2 linked regions of the Stegostoma tigrinum genome follow. The protein of the gene in region 2 interacts with the protein of the main gene of each other region in a pairwise test. Links are inferred from orthologs where the notes say so. Each region holds a gene or a part of one and is shown on either strand. Other genes may lie near its edges.

Evidence for each region.
Region 1: the proteins of rchy1 (region 2) and gorab interact in a two-hybrid assay, tested with the Homo sapiens proteins (3 studies listed by BioGRID and IntAct). The link is inferred for Stegostoma tigrinum from reciprocal best matches to the Homo sapiens genes RCHY1 and GORAB.

Annotation. Positions count from the first base shown.
Region 1 is NC_081361.1:47,132,859-47,143,489, forward strand, and holds the start of gorab (RAB6-interacting golgin), read left to right. Parts: upstream 1-5,936; 5' UTR 5,937-6,057; coding exon 6,058-6,115; intron 6,116-10,631.
Region 2 is NC_081354.1:2,945,542-2,955,986, reverse strand, and holds the start of rchy1 (RING finger and CHY zinc finger domain-containing protein 1), read right to left. Parts: upstream 4,581-10,445; 5' UTR 4,533-4,580; coding exon 4,464-4,532; intron 1-4,463. UniProt on the Homo sapiens protein: E3 ubiquitin-protein ligase that mediates ubiquitination of target proteins, including p53/TP53, TP73, HDAC1 and CDKN1B. Mediates ubiquitination and degradation of p53/TP53; preferentially acts on tetrameric p53/TP53.

The sequences.
Region 1 (10,631 bases), on a different chromosome or scaffold from region 2:
GAACAGACACTGGGTCAAAACATGAGAACTACCCCCCATCAGCAACACCAGGTCTATACCTATATGCTGTGGAATGGGGAAGCTTCTTACTGCTATGTTCACAAAATAAACTGTGAGAGGCAGGCATCAGTGATTTCTTGATTCCAGGATGGCATCTATTTAGGGACATGAGTTTCTTCCCTTGATCTTCATGCAACTGAATAGGCTGATTCTCAATCCACAGATATATGTGCAATGATACAAACTATGGATGTATAAATAGATATTTAATGTTTATGTTGCAAGTTTGGGGTTCTGGCTTTTGAGTTAATAACCTGTGAGTTTTCTGTGCATCTCAAGTTAATAATTAACATGCAAGTATTTCTGTAGTTGAGAATTCTTTTAACAGCTTTTAAGGTTGGCTTTCAAATGAATGTGTTTGTGTGCACCAGTAATGAGTTTTTAAAATCTATCTTAGGTTGTTTTGGGACCCAGCAAGATAGATAATGGGATGTCAAAGTAGTGTTCCCTCTAATTCTCTTTTTAGCTGTGTGAGCCACCAAGGTCCATGTGCAGTCTGATGAAGGGTCTAGGCCCGAAACATCAGCTTTTATGCTCCTGAGATGCTGCTGGGCCTGCTGTGTTCATCCAGCCTCACATTTCGTTATCCATGTGCAGTCACGCAGCTAAGAGGGAACATTGGCCTCAAGGTTTGTTTGAAATTTCTAGAACATCTTTCTTTTAAAGCTTAATGAAAGAACCCGTACTTTACAGAGGGATACTTCTAGTTCCAGTATTGAGCGGTTTTGCGCAGTCCTTTGAATAGGAAAGCTATACAGGCCAGTACTCCTGGGATGTATATAGTAAACTAGATTACCTTAAAGGTGAACAGTTAGAGTTAATGCCAGATTAGAAGTGTTAAGATAAAACCCTGAAGAGGTGACTTAAAGTGGAGTACATTGAAGTTTGGGTGTATAATGACTTCTTCCTGGATCCCTTTGCAGTTTCCGTCTAAAAGTTGGAGTCACAAGTGACTTAAAACTATCGAGGTTTTAGATGTAAGGACTCTGGAGTTAGCATTGCACAAATGGTATTTAGGGTACTATGCAAAAGCTGTTTTGTTTCTTTCAATTTATGAAGGAGAGGTTTGGGATTAATGGGATTATATTTTGACTATGTTTAAAAATCTTTAATTTGATGTTAGAAGTAGATGCTTTGGTTCATCTTATTACATCTTAATTTGTTTTGCTAGTAAACATCTGTTTTATTGTTAAAGCAAATCTGCAGCAATGCGTGTTTATGTTCTAGCAAGAGATCACTTTGTTAAAACCAAAACAAATCAAAATATGATCTACCAAGCCAGATTTCTATCTGAGACCTGATTTGTCCAATAGTAATATCAACTGAGATTATAACAGAACACATGAGGTGTGAGATTCCAAGCGTTAACAGGATCTGGAATACAGGAGTTGCTCCCTTCTTTCCTTCTCTGTTACAAGATGCTTTGCCTCAAAGCACAAGGGAACCTCATGAACAAGTTGTCACCATTTTAAATGATTGATAGCAAGCTGTATGCAGTCATTAATGTCAATGCTGTTGCACTTCAAATAGTACTCGCAAACATATTTGAAGCACTTTCTTGGTTCTCCCATGGAATGATGGACCAGTCAGATGAAGTGCTTTTCAACCATGCAAACATGATGACCAGCCCACTGTAGTTGATTTTGCATGTGTTTGCCTGATTGTTTATGAGCTGGCTGCAAGGATGACGCTAGGTTTTGGTCAACAATATTGTCATTGAATCTAGAGAATGCACTGATATTGCTTTTGGACATTGTCTGTTACTGTTACATGGTCAAGGTCTCTCTCACTGCACTATACAAATGTAATGGTAATTGCTGTTCTCGACATGAAGACTACTGTTTATTTTCTGACATTTATTTGTTCTCAAAACAATAGTTCGTGGAAGAACAGTTTGAACTGGCATTAACTGTTCTGAGGAAGGGTCACGGGCCCTGAAACTTTAACTCTGTTTTCTCCTCCACAGATGCTGCCAGACCTGCCGAGCTTTTCCAGAAACTTTGTTTTTGTTCCTGATTTACAGCATCCGCAGTTCTTTTGGTTTTTAACTGTTCCAGTGTTGAATCTCATCAATGGTGACCTTTAAAGGTATGGAATATGCTCAACACATTCCAGAGTCTATCCCTTAATAGGAATATTTAACTAATTTGGTCTACTTAATATAACTAATGTTTTAGCAAAATTCAAGAGCAGGCTGAGTCACTAGTATACAGAATTGAAGAGATACAAAGTGGCTTACAAGTATGGTCTACGATAATCAATGACAACAGTTATCTGCACATTACAGGACACGTATTTTTACGGTATTATGGACCAGACCAGACTCTTTCAAAATATTTTACGAAGGTAGCCTGGACCCTAACACGAGGTGTCCTGCTCAGTCATGATACACTTCTGTTGATGGGTATTCAATTTTCTGGAGAAAACACCCAAGAAGTCAATCTTCTTGTCAGAATACAGCACCAACACCCACAGCACACACATCAATAACCACCTTGAATTGATTTGCATAATTAGGTGTGGCTAACACTGGGATAGTGGCTAACACAGCTTTCAGGCTGTTAAATACCTTCTGACAGTCCGTCCTCCACTGAAATTTTCTGCACTTCCTCATTAGGTCAGTCAGTGTTACAACCACACTACTGAAATTTGGTACAAACTTCCCATAAAACCCAGTCAAAACCAGGAATCATAGTACTGCAGTCTTCGTCGATGGTAAGGGAACTCGCCAGTAGCCTTTGTTTTCACACCCCATGGGGGCATCTGTCCATGTCTGATAACATGGCCCAGGAAAATGGCTTCAGCTTTTGTGAATTCACTCTTAGTCCAGTTTATCACCAAGCCTGCCTCCGAAGTCGATTGAAAAATTCCGATAAATGGTGCAAATGTTCCTTCCATGTGTGACTAATAATCATTAATGCACACCACACAATCAGGTAATCCAGAAATAACTTTATTCATTAGTCTTTGAAATGTGACCAGAGAATTCTTCATACCAAATGACATGACTTTAAATTGCTACAATCCATTCAGGGTCACGAAAGCCAAAATAGTCCTCATTCTTTCAGATAAAAGGTACCTGCCAGTATTCTCTGAGTAAGTCCAACTTTGAAATATAAGTCCCATGTCCCACCTTCTCAATACATTCTTCCTAATGTGTAATAGGATACGAATAAGGCTTTGTAACTGCATTGACTTCACAATATTCTACCCATAATTCTTGGCTACCATCTGGTTTTAGCACCATTTCAGTGAATGGGCTCCAGTCGCCGCAACGTATTTTGACTTTGTTGTCCTTAAGCAAGCATTCAATCTCTTTTTGAATCTGTGCCAAATTTACAGTGTTAGGTCAATAAAGATGTTGCTGGAATTGAATGCCATTTCCATGTCATGCATTGTTAAATTAGTACTTCCCAGTTTATATGCACATATGTCCCAATGCAATTGTAATAACTCAGGTCTTTTCAACTTCCCTCTGGAAGGTAATTCAATAATGTATCGCAATTTTTGAGAACTTCCTCATTGTCCAAAATAATTTGAGGAAACAATGAGCTGGAGGAACTCAGCAGGTCAAGCAGCATCAGAAGAGCAGCAAAGCCAACGTTTTGGGTTTACACCCCTCACCAGGATTGGGGATGAGGAAGGGAGTTCAGAAATAAAAAGAGGAAATGGGGTGGGGCTGGAGAAAACTAGGTGGATTGCTGATAGGTGGATGCAAGTAGGGGGTAGTAGAGATTGGTCAGTGGGAAGGGTGGTGCAGATAGGTGGGAAAGAAGATGGACAGGTTTTGTCAGGTCAAAGAGGCAGGCATGAAAGGGAGGGTTGGACATGGGATGATGCCAGGGGTGGAGAGATTTTGGAACTGGCAAATTTTATGTTGAGACCATTGGGCTGTAAGCTCCAGAGTGAAATATAAGGTGCTCTTCCTCCAGTTTGCGTGTGGTGTCATTATGACACTGGAGGCAACCCAGGATGGACAGATCACCAAGGGAGTGGGAGCGCAAGTGTAACACTTCCTGTGGTCGCAGGGAAAGGTGCCAGGTGTGGTAGGGTTGATAGGGAGCGGGGAGTAGACGATGGAGTCATGATTGGGTTTCCACTGGGTGCTCTGGTTTCCTCCCACAGTCTAAAGATGGGTAGGTTAGGTGGATTGACCATAGTGTCCAGGATTTTGCTGAAAGTGGATGAGCCATGGGAAATGCAGGTTTACAGGGACAGGGTGGCATCCTGCTCCTCTGATGCTACTTGGCCGACTGTGTTCATCCAGCTCTACACCTTGTTATTTCAGATTCTCCAGCATTTGCAGTTCCTATGATCACTAAAACATTCACATCACTTAGGTACTTTACTTTAAACCAGATGTAGTACGACGGCATGCATCTTCAGTCCTATTCTGTTCCATTTTATATTTAACACAGCTATCGAAGATATACACGCGTTACGTTTTTAAAATTCTCGGGCGAGATCACTCAGAAAATAGCTCATAATGTTAGGTTTGCTTTCTTTAAGCTGGTTTGAATTGATGCCCTCTGAGCCGAATCCGTTCTATAAAACGAACGCCAAATACTGGAAATTGTACTTAAGTCGTTAAGATAATAAAATGTGAGGCTGGATGAACACAGCAGGCCAAGCAGCATCTCAGGAGCACAAAAGCTGACGTTTCGGGCCTAGACCCTTCATCAGAGAGGGGGATGGGGAGAGGGAACTGGAATAAATAGGGAGAGAGGGGGAGGCGGACCGAAGATGGAGAGTAAAGAAGATAGGTGGAGAGAGTGTAGGTGGGGAGGTGGGGAGGTAGGGAGGGGACAGGTCAAGGAGGTGGGATGAGGTTAGTAGGTAGCTGGGGGTGCGGCTTGGGGTGGGAGGAAGGGATGGGTGAGAGGATTAACCGGTTAGGGAGGCAGAGACAGGTTGGACTGGTTTTGGGATGCAGGGGGGGGGGGGGGGAGAGCTGGGCTGGTTGTGTGGTGCAGTGGGGGGAGGGGACGAACTGGGCTGGTTTAGGGATGCAGTAGGGGAAGGGGAGATTATCATTATCTCTGATACTACTTAAGTCGTTAACTCTGTTTCTCTCTCTCCAAAGATGCGGCTGAGTTCTCCAGCACTTTCTGCATTTTTTAAAAAATTTCAGCCTTCTCACATGATTTTCAAGCTGTTAACCACATCGATTGGTCGGCCAGACCCGCTGCAGTACAGAAGTGGCCTATCACCTCCCTATTTGTGAAGAAGGGTCCCGACCCGAAACGTCAACAAAGTGTGGAGCTGGATGAACACAGCAGGCCAAGCAGCATCTCAGGAGCACAAAAGCTGACGGTTCGGGCCTAGACCCTTCATCGGTGAGGGTTCTGGAATAAATAGGGAGAAGTGGACCGAAGATGGAGAGGAGAGTATAGGTGGGGAGGTAGGGAGGGGATAGGTCAGTCCAGGGAAGACGGACAGGTCAAGGAGGTGGGATGAGGTTAGTAGGTAGGAAATGGAGGTGCGGCTTGAGATAGGAGGAAGGGATGGGTGAGAGGAAGAGACAGGCTGGGCTGGTTTTGGGATGCAGTGGGGGGAGGGTACGAACTGGGCTGGTTAACCCTACATCTCCTTTGCTGCCTGATCTGCCGTGTTCGTCCAGCTCCACAGTGTTGACTTCGACTCCGACATCTCCAGTTCTTGTTATCTCCCACCTCGCCGTTCAGCTTATCAAAGGTAGTACGAATGACATGCACCTCCATCAACGGCTCTATCACGTGTCGCTGGTTGACAGCCGGTGTCACGTGCAGGTCTGGCCCAGAAGCCCCGCCTTTACGTCGCCAGGCGGAGCGAACCGGTGGTTTTTAGAAGGAGGAGCCGATAATGCGCAAGCGTATTAGCTTGGGTGCCACGTGTCACCTGTGGGCATGCGTAGTGGTTCGGTACTGTTGTCGGTCGGAGAGAGTAGGCCTTGTTTAGCGTTGTAGTCGGTGTCCCTTTTGAGGGTGGGCGGGGGAGTTTATTTGTTTTGCGTAAGGTATGGCTGGTTGGGCAGGATTTTCGGATGAGGAATTAACACGCATAAAGCAACTAAAAGGTAAAAGAAGGAATCGTGATGTAAGAATTGAATGATGATTCTGATTTTGGGGTGCAGTTACAGGAGAGTGATGGGGAAACTTTTTCGAAACAGAAACGCTGGCCAGAATTAATCATGACCTGAATAAGTGTGGATGAGCTAAAAAGTCAGCATGGGTTTCGCAAGGTCAAGTCTTGTTTAACGAGCTTGGAGGTTTTTTATTTGAAGAGGTACCGAAGAGATGGAGGATAATCTTGATGTCGTGTATTTGGATATCCAACATTGTTTTGGTGTACTCCTACTCATCAGACTCTCTTAAACTATAAATGTGTGTATTAATATGGGTGCAAGATTGGCTTAGTGACATACAAAGGGTGTATTAATGGCGAATAGTTCCTGTAAGACTGGCGAAACGCTTAGAAGGCGATTCCACCGTGGGTTGTTAGGATTTCATAATCCTCCTGATGCATTAATGACTGAGACTGTTGCTACAGAACACAAATGATACACAGCTTGAAAGTATGAAGCACCTGGAGGATGGTGCAAACTTGATCTTGTGCTTTAAGGCTACATTGTCATTGAGGTACCTCCTAAGTATCATGGAATATGGTTGTGTGCAGATTTGTGTATTTAGATTATCAAAAATGGCTATTTTCTATAAAAACTGAGACTGTCTCATGCTCAATTTAAACTGGTGTTGTACTGAAAATGACAGTGCAGGCTTGAAGGGCTGAAGAGCCTGTACCTGTGCTGTATTTGTTCTTTGATTACTGAAGTCAATCATGTGATCAGTTGCATGATTTTACATAAATCTCATCATGGTAAAAACTTCATATAAGTATGCAGCAGTTGTAATTTAATGCAGGAAGTATAATGTAAATCGTTTTGGTCGAGCAATGACATGAGTACTGTTCTCAGTAGGGTATAGAAGCAAGGTGACCTGGATGTAGGTGTACATAAGTTGTGGAAGATAGCAAGGTAGGTTGAGAAAATGGCTGATAAAGCCCATTATATCTCAATGGACACTTGTGGTACATTGCTAATATCCTTACATCTGAGCCAGAAAGCTGGGGTTCACATTGTATTTGTCCAAAAAGTATGTTAGGGGCACTAATTGTGAGATCCTACATGTATGCCTGGACTGTCTGTGCCTCTGCACACTGCCCCTGAAGCAGCTGTTTGGAATAGAGACTGTTATGCATCTACTGGAATGTGCCTGGACAAAGAAAGTCTGGAGAGAGATGCAGTGGTTTTTGTCAAGGTTAATCATGTGCACTATGAATTATTGGCCAGGACACACACTGAGGTGATCGTTGACTGCACCTGGAGAACTGTCATCTTGGTGAAAGACTGTCCTTGGTCTGCCCATAACCTGTTGGCTTCCAGAGCAGCAGTTGACCTTGCCCACGTGTGAACTGGCATGTTCCATATGTTCTAAGGTCCAGGGCTACATGCTAAGGGATGCATTAAAGCCTGGGGCAGCTGCTGCCAAAGTGCAGTGGGGAAACATTGCTGTCTAAGGTTTTTCTGCTGAAGTACATTTAGTTATTGGACCCTCCCGGTACCTCAAATGCATGTAAATATAGTCTTGAATAAGTGAGAAGTGCCTTGGGTTTGTTTGTCTACATATGTAAAGACTGTGTAAAATTGAATGAGTGATTATATATCTATATGTAATAATGGGTTGATTGAATGGGGCGGCAGGTGACTGAGCAGTTAGCACTGCTGCCTCACAGCTCCAGAGACCCAGGCTTGATTCCACCCTCGGGCAACTGTCTGTGTGAGGTATGTACGTTCTCTCCATGTCTACATTGTTTTTTTTCCCCACAGTCCAAAGATGTGCTTCTTTGATGTTTCAGGCTTGATAGATTGGCAGTGGGGATGCGGAGTTGGAGGTTGGGTCTGGGTGGGATACTCTTTGGAGGGTTGGTTTGGACTCAGTCAACCAAATGGCCTGCTCCCACAGTGTAGGGGTTCTGTGATTCTGTGATGGTTCTATGATTAGAAAATATCTATGATGCCTTTAGGGTTTATCAAAAGGGTAGGGTACAAAAGCAGGAGGTTATGTGAAATCTATATAAGACATTGGTTTGCCCTCAATTGTAGAATTGTGTCGACTATACTTAAAAGATATGAAGGCATTAGATAGGGTGCAGAACATTTACAAGAATGGCTCTGGGGATGAGATACTTCAGTTGGATGAACTGGATACAATTGGATAGGATCCTTGGTTAAGAGAAAGTGAAGGTGAGGAGATTTGATATTAGGTATTCAGAATCATAAGGGCCCTCTCCAGTGTAGATGAGGAGAAAGCATTTCCAATGGCAGGATTGAGAAACCGTGCAGATTTAAGATAACTGAAAGCAATGTTTGACGTGAGTAAAACCTTAATCCTGTAGTGAGTGGCTAGGCTGTGGATTACCTTACCTGTGAGTATTCTGGAGGTATTGGCAAATTAGGCTTTCCAAAGATTATTAGATTGTGATAGAATCACAGTCTACAGCATGGAAACAAATTTTGGTCCAACCAGTCTAGCCAACCATAATCCCAAACTAAACTAATCCCACCTGCCTGCACTTGGCCCATATTTATAATCCATATCTGAAATGGTAAAATTTCCAGGACTAAGTGAAGAAGCAGGGAAGTGACATGAAGTAAATTGCCCCTTCAGAGGCCCAACACAAACATGACATACCAAAAGCCATCTGTCTTTTATAACCGTTCTGATATTTCTATAGCTGTTATTAGAGGTTTTCTTCCTTGGTCTGTCTGTCTGGCTGGCCATCAGCTCTGATAGAGGTTGCTTATTGTGCTTTCAGGATGGTATGGCTGGGATCCGTTGCCATTATTCTACTGTTCCATAGCTAGCAAAGCAAACTGTAAATATGATTGATTAAGAATAAGTTGGATGGTCTGGCATCACTGAAGTCCTGAATGTGATAGCTCTCAATTAGTTACTTCTAGAAAGAAAGAGCTCGCATTTATATAGCCTGTTTCATGAAGGACAGGCCTCAAAGTCCTTATTAGGTGATTTTGAAGTGTGGTCACTAATTCATGTAAACAGGACACAAGAATATGTGCATGGTGAGGGTTCATAATCTGCCTTGAGATGAATCACCTAGTTAAAACTTTGTAGGTTTGCCATGCTGTAACCATTGGCTAGAATTTTCTCGCACATCTTTGAATAGCATCACAGCGTTCTGCATGAATGAATATGGTGTACTAATGATTGTAAAATTAATCTTAAATCTGAATTTACAACAACACCAGAAAAAGTATTTTTTCAAATGTTGTACAAGTTCACCTCCTAATATCCTTGGGAAAGTATCTGCTGTTGTAGGCCTGCTTACAAGTAGATGATACTTCATAAAAGGACAATGGGTAATAAAGGGGAAACTTGAAAGATTTTCCATTTGTATAGAACTGTTCATGACTGCACAATACACCATACCACTTGACAGCCAATGAAGGACATTTGAAGTGCAGACATTGACCAGGAAGTATTTCTGCTTTGTTAACAATCACCCCTACCTCAAGAGCAGCTCTTAAAGGACAGACATGTTTTAACTTAGCTTAAGTTTTAACTTAAATGATGAAATTTTGAAAAATACTGTGCTGTCAGTGCTGAAATAGTGTTTTAAATTCCTGGAATGGGATTTTATTTCTTCATCCAATAAGGGTTTTATGGCTTAAACACTTACTTTTGAAATGTATTAAGTTATAACAAGCACAGCATCACTTCTGCATGCAATGTCTTGAGAGAGACCTACAAATATTTTCTGGTGTAAGTTGAGGGAGAAGTACTGGATGTAATTCTGCAGCAGTCGATTTTCTTGAAACATGTTGAACAGAAAAAACAAAGTAACATTTGTTTCTACATCACCTGAGAGCTTTGAAACCTCATTTTAAAATTATCTGCCGTTGGTTTCGCACCACCTAATTTTTAAAAGCTGTGAATGTCAATTGAAGAGATGCAATTACAGACTCTGAATATGGTTTTTCATCCCATTGAGATTTACTGCAAAACCTGAAGTGCAAGGGCAAACACGTTTATATTCAAGTAGTCCTTTTGTGTTCTTGGCACACCGCAAATTGCTTTACATACGATGGATGAAACCTTATCTTTGAGCGAATCAAAGTATTTTATTTGTGTATAAGGTGATCCAAACAAAAGGCAGGTGGCTGAATAAACAAACAATTTGTCTGACATTTTTTTGAGAAAGAAATGTCAGTCAAAGTCTGAGATCCTCCACTTTAATTTTTTGTGACTGAGTAAGCAGTTTCGCAATTCATTGGGATCTCAGTCATATGATCCTACAGATCTGTATTGTTTAGCTTGATACTTCAATGTGTTGCTGTAGTGCAGATTTAACCTAAATGTTCTGAATGCAAGGCAAGTGTGATCACCTGAGCTGAGTAGATTTTCAGTGTAAAGAATTTCCATTATTTATCTATCCTTTTGCACAATAACTGTTGTCCAAAGAAACATGGCTGTTTTGTCATGGGTACTATCTGACTTGCTTAAGCTGTAAAAGGC
Region 2 (10,445 bases):
AATGCTAAAAATGAAAAAGAATAAATCTAAAGGATAACACACGGAAAATTCATAGATCTATTGTACAACGCAACTAGTGGCTTAACTCTGCTACTGTCTAACATGCCACCAAGGCAATTAAGAAAATGGGCTTTTCATTAAACATTTGTGAACAAAGGTCCTGTACTAAATTGGCTCCACTACTGTGCACGGCCCCCCGTTATCAAAGTCCAAGAGACAGCCTTGGGCAACATGGATCACTTTCTTTATCCTGGGAGCCAACTGACACCAATGGCAGACATCAACACTGAAATTTAAAAACACCTTCAGTGTGTCAGGATAGGCTTCAATGGATGTGAAGCATTTATATCTTTAGAAGGCTTTTGATAGCATGTCACACAAGAGGCTAGTAAACGAAATTAAAGCACATGGGATTGGGAAGAACATATTGGCATGGATAAGACTTGATTAACAGACAGAAAGCGAACAGTAGGGCTGAACCAACAAGTCTCAGGGGGCATTACTTTATTTGTGAAGCAAAGTATATGTCAGTGCTGGGTCCACGACTGTTCACAATTGATACAAATGATCAGTACCTGGCGACCAAATCTCGAAATTTGCTGACAACACCAAATGGGAACACAAGCTGTGAAGAGGCTGCAAGGAAGCTTCAAGAGGATGCGGCCAGGCTAATCTGGGCTAGAACATGGCAGGGGAAATATTATGTGAGTAAATGTGAAAGTATTCACTCTGGTAGAAACAACAAAGATGAAAATATTTAAATAGTTGAGACAATGGGACATAATGGGGTTTCAAACGGATCTGGATGTCTGTGTCCACAAGTCACTAAAAGCATGCGGATGAAACAAGCAATGAGAGGTGATGCCAGTGAAATTTACAAAATTCTTACAGGGCCATGACAAGCTGGATGTACATAGGATGTTTCTCCTGGTTGGAGAGTATAGAACCAGGGAGCATAATCTCAGAAGGTATACGCCATTTAAAACTGAAATGATGGGGTATTTTTCCACTCATAAGGTGGAGAGCGCTCAGTCACTGAGCAGTGTAAAGACAGAAATTAATAGCTTTCTGCAGACTAATGACAGCGAAGAATGTGAAGAGTGTGCAGGAAAGTCATATTGAGGTAGTTCAAGGAGTAAACCACTCTTGTTTCAACAGGTAGCCACACCATTAGACCTTCACCTGAGGCCATCTCCTGACCATTGAGAACACAGCATTTTATATTTCTCACTGTTAGTGAAGTAAGGTATGTTCATTAGGATAAATGGTGAATAGAATATGACATCTTAGAACCTACTTAAATCAGGTTCCAACTGGCCCTCCCTGTTTGAAGGAGGGAAGATGGCCCTGGTGTGTAGTTGATTAGGTGTGGGATGTCAAGCACAGTTGGCTGGGGAAGGAAGGAGGCTACAGCGTGTCTCCAGAATTGCATCTACAACACTTAGCCCCATCAAGAGACAAGAAATATTTGCAATTTTTAAAATTCATTTATGGGGTGTGGGATTGCTGGTCAGACAAATTTTTTGCACATCCCTAATTGACTAGAGGGCAGTTAAGAGTCAACCACATTGCTGTGGGTCTGGAATCACATGTAGGCCAGACCATGTAAGGACAGCAGATTCTTTCTGTAAAGGACATCAGTGAATCATATGTGCTTTCTGTCCCCCCCACTGACAATTGGCAACACTTTCATGGTCATCACCAGATTCCTAATTCCAGATTTTTATTGAATTCAATTCTGTCATAGCAGGATTCGAACCTGGGTCCCTTGATTGTTTCATGGGTTTCTGGATTATAAGCGTAGAGTTTGTACCACCAGACCATTATCTCCACATATAGTGCTTTTCACAACATCAGGAGATCTCAGTGCTTTACAGCCAACTTCTATAACTCAGATATACTATTTCAATGTTATCAGCTCTGGTCAATAAGAACACAGAAATTAGAAACTCAAGTAGGTCATCTGGCTCCTTTGAGCCCACTTTGTCATTCAATATGGTCACAGGTGATGTACCTGTGGTTGTGGCCTCAACTTCACTTTCCTGCCTGTCTCCCACAAGCCTACAGTCCCTTATTGATCAACAATCTGTTTAACTCGACTACTGATACATTCAACAATCCAAACTACAGTGCTCAATGGCAAACCAAATTCCACAGGTCATGGCTTTGAGAAATGTCTCCTAATTTCTGTCCTCAATGGGAAAATCCTTATTCAGAAACTATATTCTCTAGTTCTAGATTCCCCTATAAATTGAAATATCCTCTCAACATCCAGCCTGCCACGTCCCCTCAGAACTGTACAAGTATCAACAAAAGGCTGTTGACTGATAAGGTGACATTTGAGACGATTCCTTCATTTGCAGAGGATACTAGGACTACATAGGGCACAGTTTAAAATGTTGGTATTTCCCATTTTGTAGAGTCATCTGGCCGGTTAAGCCTGCCCCACCATTTAATAAGATCATGGCTGATCTTTTTGAGACTCATCTCCACTTACCCGCCCACTCACCATAACCCTTAATTCCTTTACTGTTCAAAAATTTATCTAGCCTTGCCTTAAAAAACATTCAGTGAGGTAGCTTCAACCACTACACTGGGCAGGGAATTCCACAGATTCACAACTCTTTGCATGAAAAAGCTCCTCTTGGGCCTCAGTCATATATCTGCTTCAATATAAAGGAAAGCAATGCCCTCTAGTCCTAGTTTCACCTGCTCGCAGAAACAACCTCCCTGCCTCCACTTTATCTATTCCCTTCATAATCTTGTGTTTCTATAAGATCTCTCCTCATTCTTCTGAATTCCAATGAGTATAATTCCAGTCTACTCAGTCTCTCCTCATAATCCGAACCTCTCAACTCTGGAATCAACCAAGTGAATCTCCTCTGCACCCCCTCGAGTGCTCGTATATCTCTTCTCAAGTAAGGAGACCAAACGGCCTCACCAGGACCCTAGAGAGCTGCAGCATAGCCTCCCTGTTTTTAAACTCCATCCCTTGAGCAACGGCAGACAAAATTCCATTTGCCTTTTTAATAACCCACTGCACCTGTAATCCTACTTTTAGCGATTCATGTACAAGGACACCCAAGTCCCTCTGCACAGCACCGTGCTGCAATTTTTTACCATGTAAAACATAGTCCATTTTGCTGTTATTCCTACCAAAATGGATGACTTCACACTTATCAACAGTGTACTCCATCTGCCAGACCTTTTTACCACTCACCAACTATCTACATCCCTCTGCAGACTTGCAGTATCTTTTGCACACTTTGCTCTACCGCTCACCTTAGTGTCATCTGCAAATTTTGACACACTATACTTAGTACCCAACTCTAAATCATCCATGTAAACTGTAAACAATTGCAGTCCCAACACTGTTCGCTGCGGCTCAGCACTAGCCACCGACCAAACAAAATAAAAACACCCATTTACCCCTGCTCTTTTCTTTCTACTGGTCAACCAATCCTCTCTCTATGCCAATACATTACTTGCCTTCTGGAAATCCAGATACACCACATCCACAAGTTCCCCATTGACTACCATGCAAGTAATGTCCCAAAAGAATTACACCAAATTAGTTATACGTGACCTACCCTTCATGAACCCATACTGGGTGTTCCCAATGGGACAATTTATATCCAGATGTTTTCCTATTTCTTCCTAAATGATAGATTCAAATAGACTTATTCATGAACATATTCAATTTTTTAAAAACTCTAACAGTACCTACATCCACCACTACCTCCAGAGGTTCATTTCAAACATGAACCACTCCTGGTGTGGTAAAAAAAATTGTCCCTCATGTTTTTTTTAAATCTTTCTCCTCTCACCTTAAAAGTACAACCCCTTATGTTGAAATCTCTCACCCTGGGGAAAGACACCTGCTATTGACTTTATCTACAACCCTGGTGATTTTTATAAACCTCCATGGAGGTCACCTCTCAACCTCCCACACAATCCAGTGAAACAAGTCTCAGCCAATGCAGCCTCTTCCTTATATCTCAAACCCTCCCATTCCTGGCAACATCCTGGTAGAGCTCTTCTGAACCCTCTCCAGTTTAAATAATACCCTTCCTATAGCAGGGCGACCAGGACTAGGCACAGTATTCTACAAGAGATTTCTCAGAGGGTGAAGAATCTTTGGTTCTATGACTCGCTGAGGAAGAGAATTTCAGGGAATCCCTGCAGCATGGAAGTGGTCCATTCGGTCCATCGAATCAACACCAACCCTCTGAAACAGCACTGGCCCCGCGCATGGGGACACAGCCCGCACCTAATGCGATTTCTTGTGGTTTTAAACTTGAGGGGGATGAGGGAGTTCTCCTCGGCCAACACTATCGTTAAAGGTGGGGGAGGGAACCTGCAGTCTGGGATCTTCCTGTGCACTGATTAGGGTGGGGTGAACAAACGCAGGTATCCTCTCCTTCCCACCCAGATGTCCCGTGGGAGGTTGAGATCCCGCTTACCTGAAGCCTGCAGGAGCGGGTATAATGAGAGCATTTCAGGAGCGCGCACCCAGGCTCCAACGCCGCCATTAGGCCCCGTCACCTGGAGACGAATCGCGCAGCCGCAGTGCCGCCACCCCGCCGGCAGGGTGAAGGTGAAGGCGAAGGCGCAGGCGCAGGACCGGCCGATGGCGAGGAAACCCTGACGTTGTACGCAAACGTAAAACCGGCGGCGTGGAAGAATCATGGCAATGTGCGCAAGCGCAGGGCCGACGGCGTGGCGGAACCTGTACTGTGCGCAGGCGCGGAACTGGTTACAGTGAAAATGGATACAGAAGAGGGCGGGATTGATACATTGAATGGGAGAAGATTTTAGGTGTGTTAGGCTTTATCCAGTGCTGGGGAAAGATAAGGGTTATTCCTTTAGACTTACGTCCGTGTGGATAAAAACAAGATACTGGAAGTCTAAAATAAAGTTGTGTGTGGAATATTTCAGGATGAGACAGATTAGTGGCAATAGGACCCGCAGATGCTGTAGAATCTGAAATAACACAGTGTGAAGCTGGATGGACACAGCAGGCCAAGCAGCATTTCAGGAGCACAAAAGCTGACGTTTCGCCCAAAATGTCAGCTTTCCTGCTCCTGAGATGCTGCTTGGCCTGCTGTGTTCATCCAGCTCCACACCTTGTTAGTTGAGATAGATTCGTGATCGGTCAGGGAATGATGAATAATGGGGAAAGGGCAGAAAAATGGATGTGAGGAATGCCAGGTCGACCGTGATCCTGTTGAAATTCCGCAGAGTTTTGCGGAGCCGAACAGCCTATTTGTTATCATCCTTTGGTGTTATGCTTCTAATCACCACACTGTAGGAAGGACGTGTTTGCACTGGAGGGGTGCAGAGAAGATACCGCCCCCTCGATCATGACCCCACACCCGAGCACCAAACCATCATCTCCAACACCATTCACAACCTCATCACCTCAGGGGACCTCCCACCCACAGCCTCCAACCTCATTGTTCCCCAACCCCGCACGGCCCGTTTCTATCTCCTTCCCAAAATCCACAAACCTGTCTGCCCTGGTCGACCCATCGTCTCAGCCTGCTCCTGCCCCACCGAACTCATCTCCACCTATCTGGACTCCATTTTCTCCCCTTTGGTCCAGGAACTCCCCACCTACGTCCGTGACACCACCCACGCCCTCCACCTCCTCCAGGACTTCCAATTCCCTGGCCCCCAACACCTCATATTCACCATGGACGTCCAGTCCCTGTACACCTGCATTCCGCATGGAGATGGCCTCAAGGCCCTCCGCTTCTTCCTATCCCGCAGGCCCTACCAGTCCCCCTCCACCGACACTCTCATCCGCCTAGCTGAACTCGTCCTCACACTCAACAACTTCTCTTTTGACTCCTCCCACTTCCTACAGACTAAGGGGGTGGCCATGGGCACCCGCATGGGCCCCAGCTATGCCTGCCTCTTTGTAGGTCACGTGGAACAGTCCCTCTTCCGCACCTACACAGGGCCCAAACCCCACCTCTTCCTCCGGTACATTGATGACTGTATCGGCGCCGCCTCTTGCTCCCCAGAGGAGCTCGAACAGTTCATCCACTTCACCAACACCTTCCACCGCAAACTTCAGTTCACCTGGGCCATCTCCAGCACATCCCTCACCTTCCTGGACCTCTCAGTCTCCATCTCAGGCAACCAGCTTGTAACTGATGTCCATTTCAAGCCCACCGACTCCCACAGCTACCTAGAATACACCTCCTCCCACCCACCCTCCTGCAAAAATTCCATCCCCTATTCCCAATTCCTCTGCCTCCGCCACATCTGCTCCCACGATAAGACATTCCACTCCCGCACATCCCAGATGTCCAAGTTCTTTAATGACCGCAACTTTCCCCCCACAGTGATCGAGAACGCCCTTGACCGCGTCTCCCGTATTTCCCGCAACACATCCCTCACACCCCGCCGCCGCCACAACCGCCCAAAGAGGATACCCCTCGTTCTCACACACCACCCTACCAACCTCCGGATACAACGCATCATCCTCCGACACTTCCGCCATTTACGATCCGACCCCACCACCCAAGACATTTTTCCATTCCCACCCCTGTCTGCTTTCCGGAGAGACTACTCTCTCCGTGACTCCCTTGTTCGCTCCACACTGCCCTCCAACCCCACCACACCCGGCACCTTCCCCTGCAACCGCAGGAAATGCTACACTTGCCCCCACACCTCCTCCCTCACCCCTATCCCAGGCCCCAAGATGACATTCCACATTAAGCAGAGGTTCACCTGCACATCTGCCAATGTGGTATACTGCATCCACTGTACCCGGTGCGGCTTCTTCTACATTGGGGAAACCAAGCGGAGGCTTGGAGACCGCTTTGCAGAACACCTCCGCTCAGTTTGCAACAAACAACTGCACCTCCCAGTCGCAAACCATTTCCACTCCCCCTCCCATTCTCTAGATGACATGTCCATCATGGGCCTCCTGCACTGCCACAATGATGCCACCTGAAGGTTGCAGGAACAGCAACTCATATTCCACCTGGGAACCCTGCAGCCATATGGTATCAATGTGGACTTCACCAGTTTCAAAATCTCCCCTTCCCCTACTGCATCCCTAAACCAGCCTAGTTCGTCCCCTCCCCCCACTGCACCACACAACCAGCCCAGCTCTTACCCCCCACCCACTGCATCCCAAAACCAGTCCAGCCTGTCTCTGCCTCCCTAACCGGTTCTTCCTCCCACCCATCCCTTCCTCCCACCCCAAGCCGCACCCCCATCTACCTACTAACCTCATCCCACCTCCTTGACCTGTCCGTCTTCCCTGGACTGACCTATCCCCTCCCTACCTCCCCACCTATACTCTCTCCACCTATCTTCTTCACTCTCCATCTTCGGTCCGCCTCCCCCTCTCTCCCTATTTATTCCAGTTCCCTCTCCCCATCCCCCTCTCTGATGAAGGGTCTAGGCCCGAAATGTCAGCTTTTGTGCTCCTGAGATGCTCCTTGGCCTGCTGTGTTCATCCAGCCTCACATTTTATCATCAGAATGTTGCCTGGGATAGAGTGATCAGCTATGTAGAGAGGTGGGGATAATTAAACAAGGAACCATATTTTTTAAAAAAAACCAAAAAACTGCCAATGCTGAGAATCTGAAAAACAGAAATTGCGTGAGAATGCACAGTTAAAGGTCCAGGTCCAGTGACTCTTCACCAGAACTCAGTTTTTGCTCTGTTTCCACACTTAAATGCCAGACCTGCTGAATTTCTCAAAGAACTCAAGATGCTGGAGATCTGAAGCAAACTGTTCTGAGAGGCATAGAATTGGTAAATAGAAACATTTTCCCCTTTGGAGCAGAAAGTTTAGAGGGGATTTGAGGAATTTTCATCCAGAAGTTTGTATTTATGTGGAATTCATTCCTTAAAAGGGAGGTAGAGATGATATTTAAGAAATATTTAGATGAATACTTGAAACACCATGGCATACAAGGCTAGGGGCCAAGTGCTGAAAACTGGAATTAGAATAAATGATATTTGAAAACTGGCACAGGTGTGATGGCCTGAAGGGCCCTTTTCTATGCTGTAAAATGTTTTGATTCTAAAAACACAAAATTCTGGAGAAAGAGAGATGGTGGGAACTGCAGATGCTGGAGAATCCAAGATAGTAAAATGTGAGGCCGGATGAACACAGCAGGCCAAGCAGCATCTCAGGAGCACAAAAGCTGACGTTTCGGGCCTAGACCCTTCATCAGAGAGGGAGATGGGGTGAGCGTTCTGGAATAAATAGGGAGAGAGGGGGAGGCGGACCGAAGATGGAGAGAAAAGAAGATAGGTGGAGAGGAGTGTATAGGTGGGGAGGTAGGGAGGGGATAGGTCAGTCCAGGGAAGATGGACAGGTCAAGGAGGTGGGATGAGGTTAGTAGGTAGATGGGGGTGCGGCTTGGGGTGGGAGGAAGGGATGGGTGAGAGGAAGAACAGGTTAGGGAGGCAGAGACAGGCTGGACTGGTTTTGGGATGCAGTGGGTGGGGGGGAAGAGCTGGGCTGGTTGTGTGGTGCAGTGGGGGGAGGGGATGAACTGGGCTGGTTTAGGGATGCAGTAGGGGAAGGGGAGATTTTGAAACTGGTGAAGTCCACATTGATACCATTAGGCTGCAGGGTTCCCAGGCGGAATATGAGTTGCTGTTCCTGCAACCTTCAGGTGGCATCATTGTGGCAGTGCAGGAGGCCCATGATGGACATGTCATCAAGAGAATGGGAGGGGGAGTGGAAATGGTTTGCGACTGGGAGGTGCAGTTGTTTGTTGCAAACTGAGCGGAGGTGTTCTGCAAAGCGGTCTCCAAGCCTCCGCTTGGTTTCCCCAATGTAGAGGAAGCCACACCGGGTACAGTGGATGCAGTATACCACATTGGCAGATGTGCAGGTGAACCTCTGCTTAATGTGGAATGTCATCTTGGGGCCTGGGATGGGGGTGAGGGAGGAGGTGTGGGGACAAGTGTAGCATTTCCTGCGGTTGCAGGGGAAGGTGCCGGGTGTGGTGGGGTTGGAGGGCAGTGTGGAGCGAACAAGGGAGTCACGGAGAGAGTGGTCTCTCCGGAAAGCAGACAGGGGTGGGGATGGAAAAATGTCTTGGGTGGTGGGGTCGGATTGTAGATGGCGGAAGTGTCGGAGGATGATGCGTTGTATCCGGAGGTTGGTAGGGTGGTGTGTGAGAACGAGGGGGATCCTCTTAGGGCGGTTGTGGCCGGGGCGGGGTGTGAGGGATGTGTTGCGGGAAATACTGGAGACGCGGTCAAGGGCGTTCTCGATCACTGTGGGGGGAAAGTTGCGGTCCTTGAAGAACTTGGACATCTGGGATGTGCGGGAGTGGAATGCCTCATTGTGGGAGCAGATGCGGCGGAGGCAGAGGAATTGGGAATAGGAATGGAATTTTTGCAGGAGGGTGGGTGGGAGGAGGTGTATTCTAGGTAGCTGTGGGAGTCGGTGGGCTTGAAATGGACATCAGTTACAAGCTGGTTGCCTGAGATGGAGACTGAGAGGTCCAGGAAGGTGAGGGATGTGCTGAAGATGGCCCAGGTGAACTGAAGGTTGGGGTGGAAGGTGTTGGTGAAGTGGATGAACTGTTCGAGCTCCTCTGGGGAGCAAGAGGCGGCGCCGATACAGTCATCAATGTACTGGAGGAAGAGGTGGGGTTTGGGGCCTGTGTAAGCGCGGAAGAGGGACTGTTCCACGTAACCTACAAAGAGGCAGGCATAGCTGGGGCCCATGCGGGTGCCCATGGCCACCCCCTTAGTCTGTAGGAAGTGGGAGGAGTCAAAAGAGAAGTTGTTGAGTGTGAGGACGAGTTCGGCTAGGCGGATGAGGGTGTCAGTGGAGGGGGACTGGTCGGGCCTGCGGGACAGGAAGAAGCGGAGGGCCTTGAGGCCATCTCCATGCCGAATGCAGGTGTATAGAGACTGGACGTCCATGGTGAATATGAGGTGTTGGGGGCCAGGGAATTGGAAGTCCTGGAGGAGGTGGAGGGCGTGGGTGGTGTCACGGACGTAGGTAGGGGGTTCCTGGACCAAAGGGGAGAAAATGGAGTCCAGATAGGTGGAGATGAGTTCGGTGGGGCAGGAGCAGACTGAGACGATGGGTCGACCAGGGCAGGCAGGTTTGTGGATTTTGGGAAGGAGATAGAAACAGGCCGTGCGGGGTTGGGGAACAATGAGGTTGGAGGCTTTGGGTGGGAGGTCCCCTGAGGTGATGAGGTCATGAATGGTGTTGGAGATGATGGTTTGGTGCTCGGGTGTGGGGTCATGATCGAGGGGGCGGTAGGAGGTGGTGTCGGAGAGTTGGCGTCTGGCCTCGACAATGTAGAGGTCAGTGCGCCATACTACCACTGCGCCACCCTTGTCTGTGGGTTTGATGGTGAGGTTGGGGTTGGAGCGGAGGGCTGCCCGTTCTGCAGGGGAGAGGTTGGAGCGGGTGAGAGGGGTGGAGAGGTTGAGGCGGT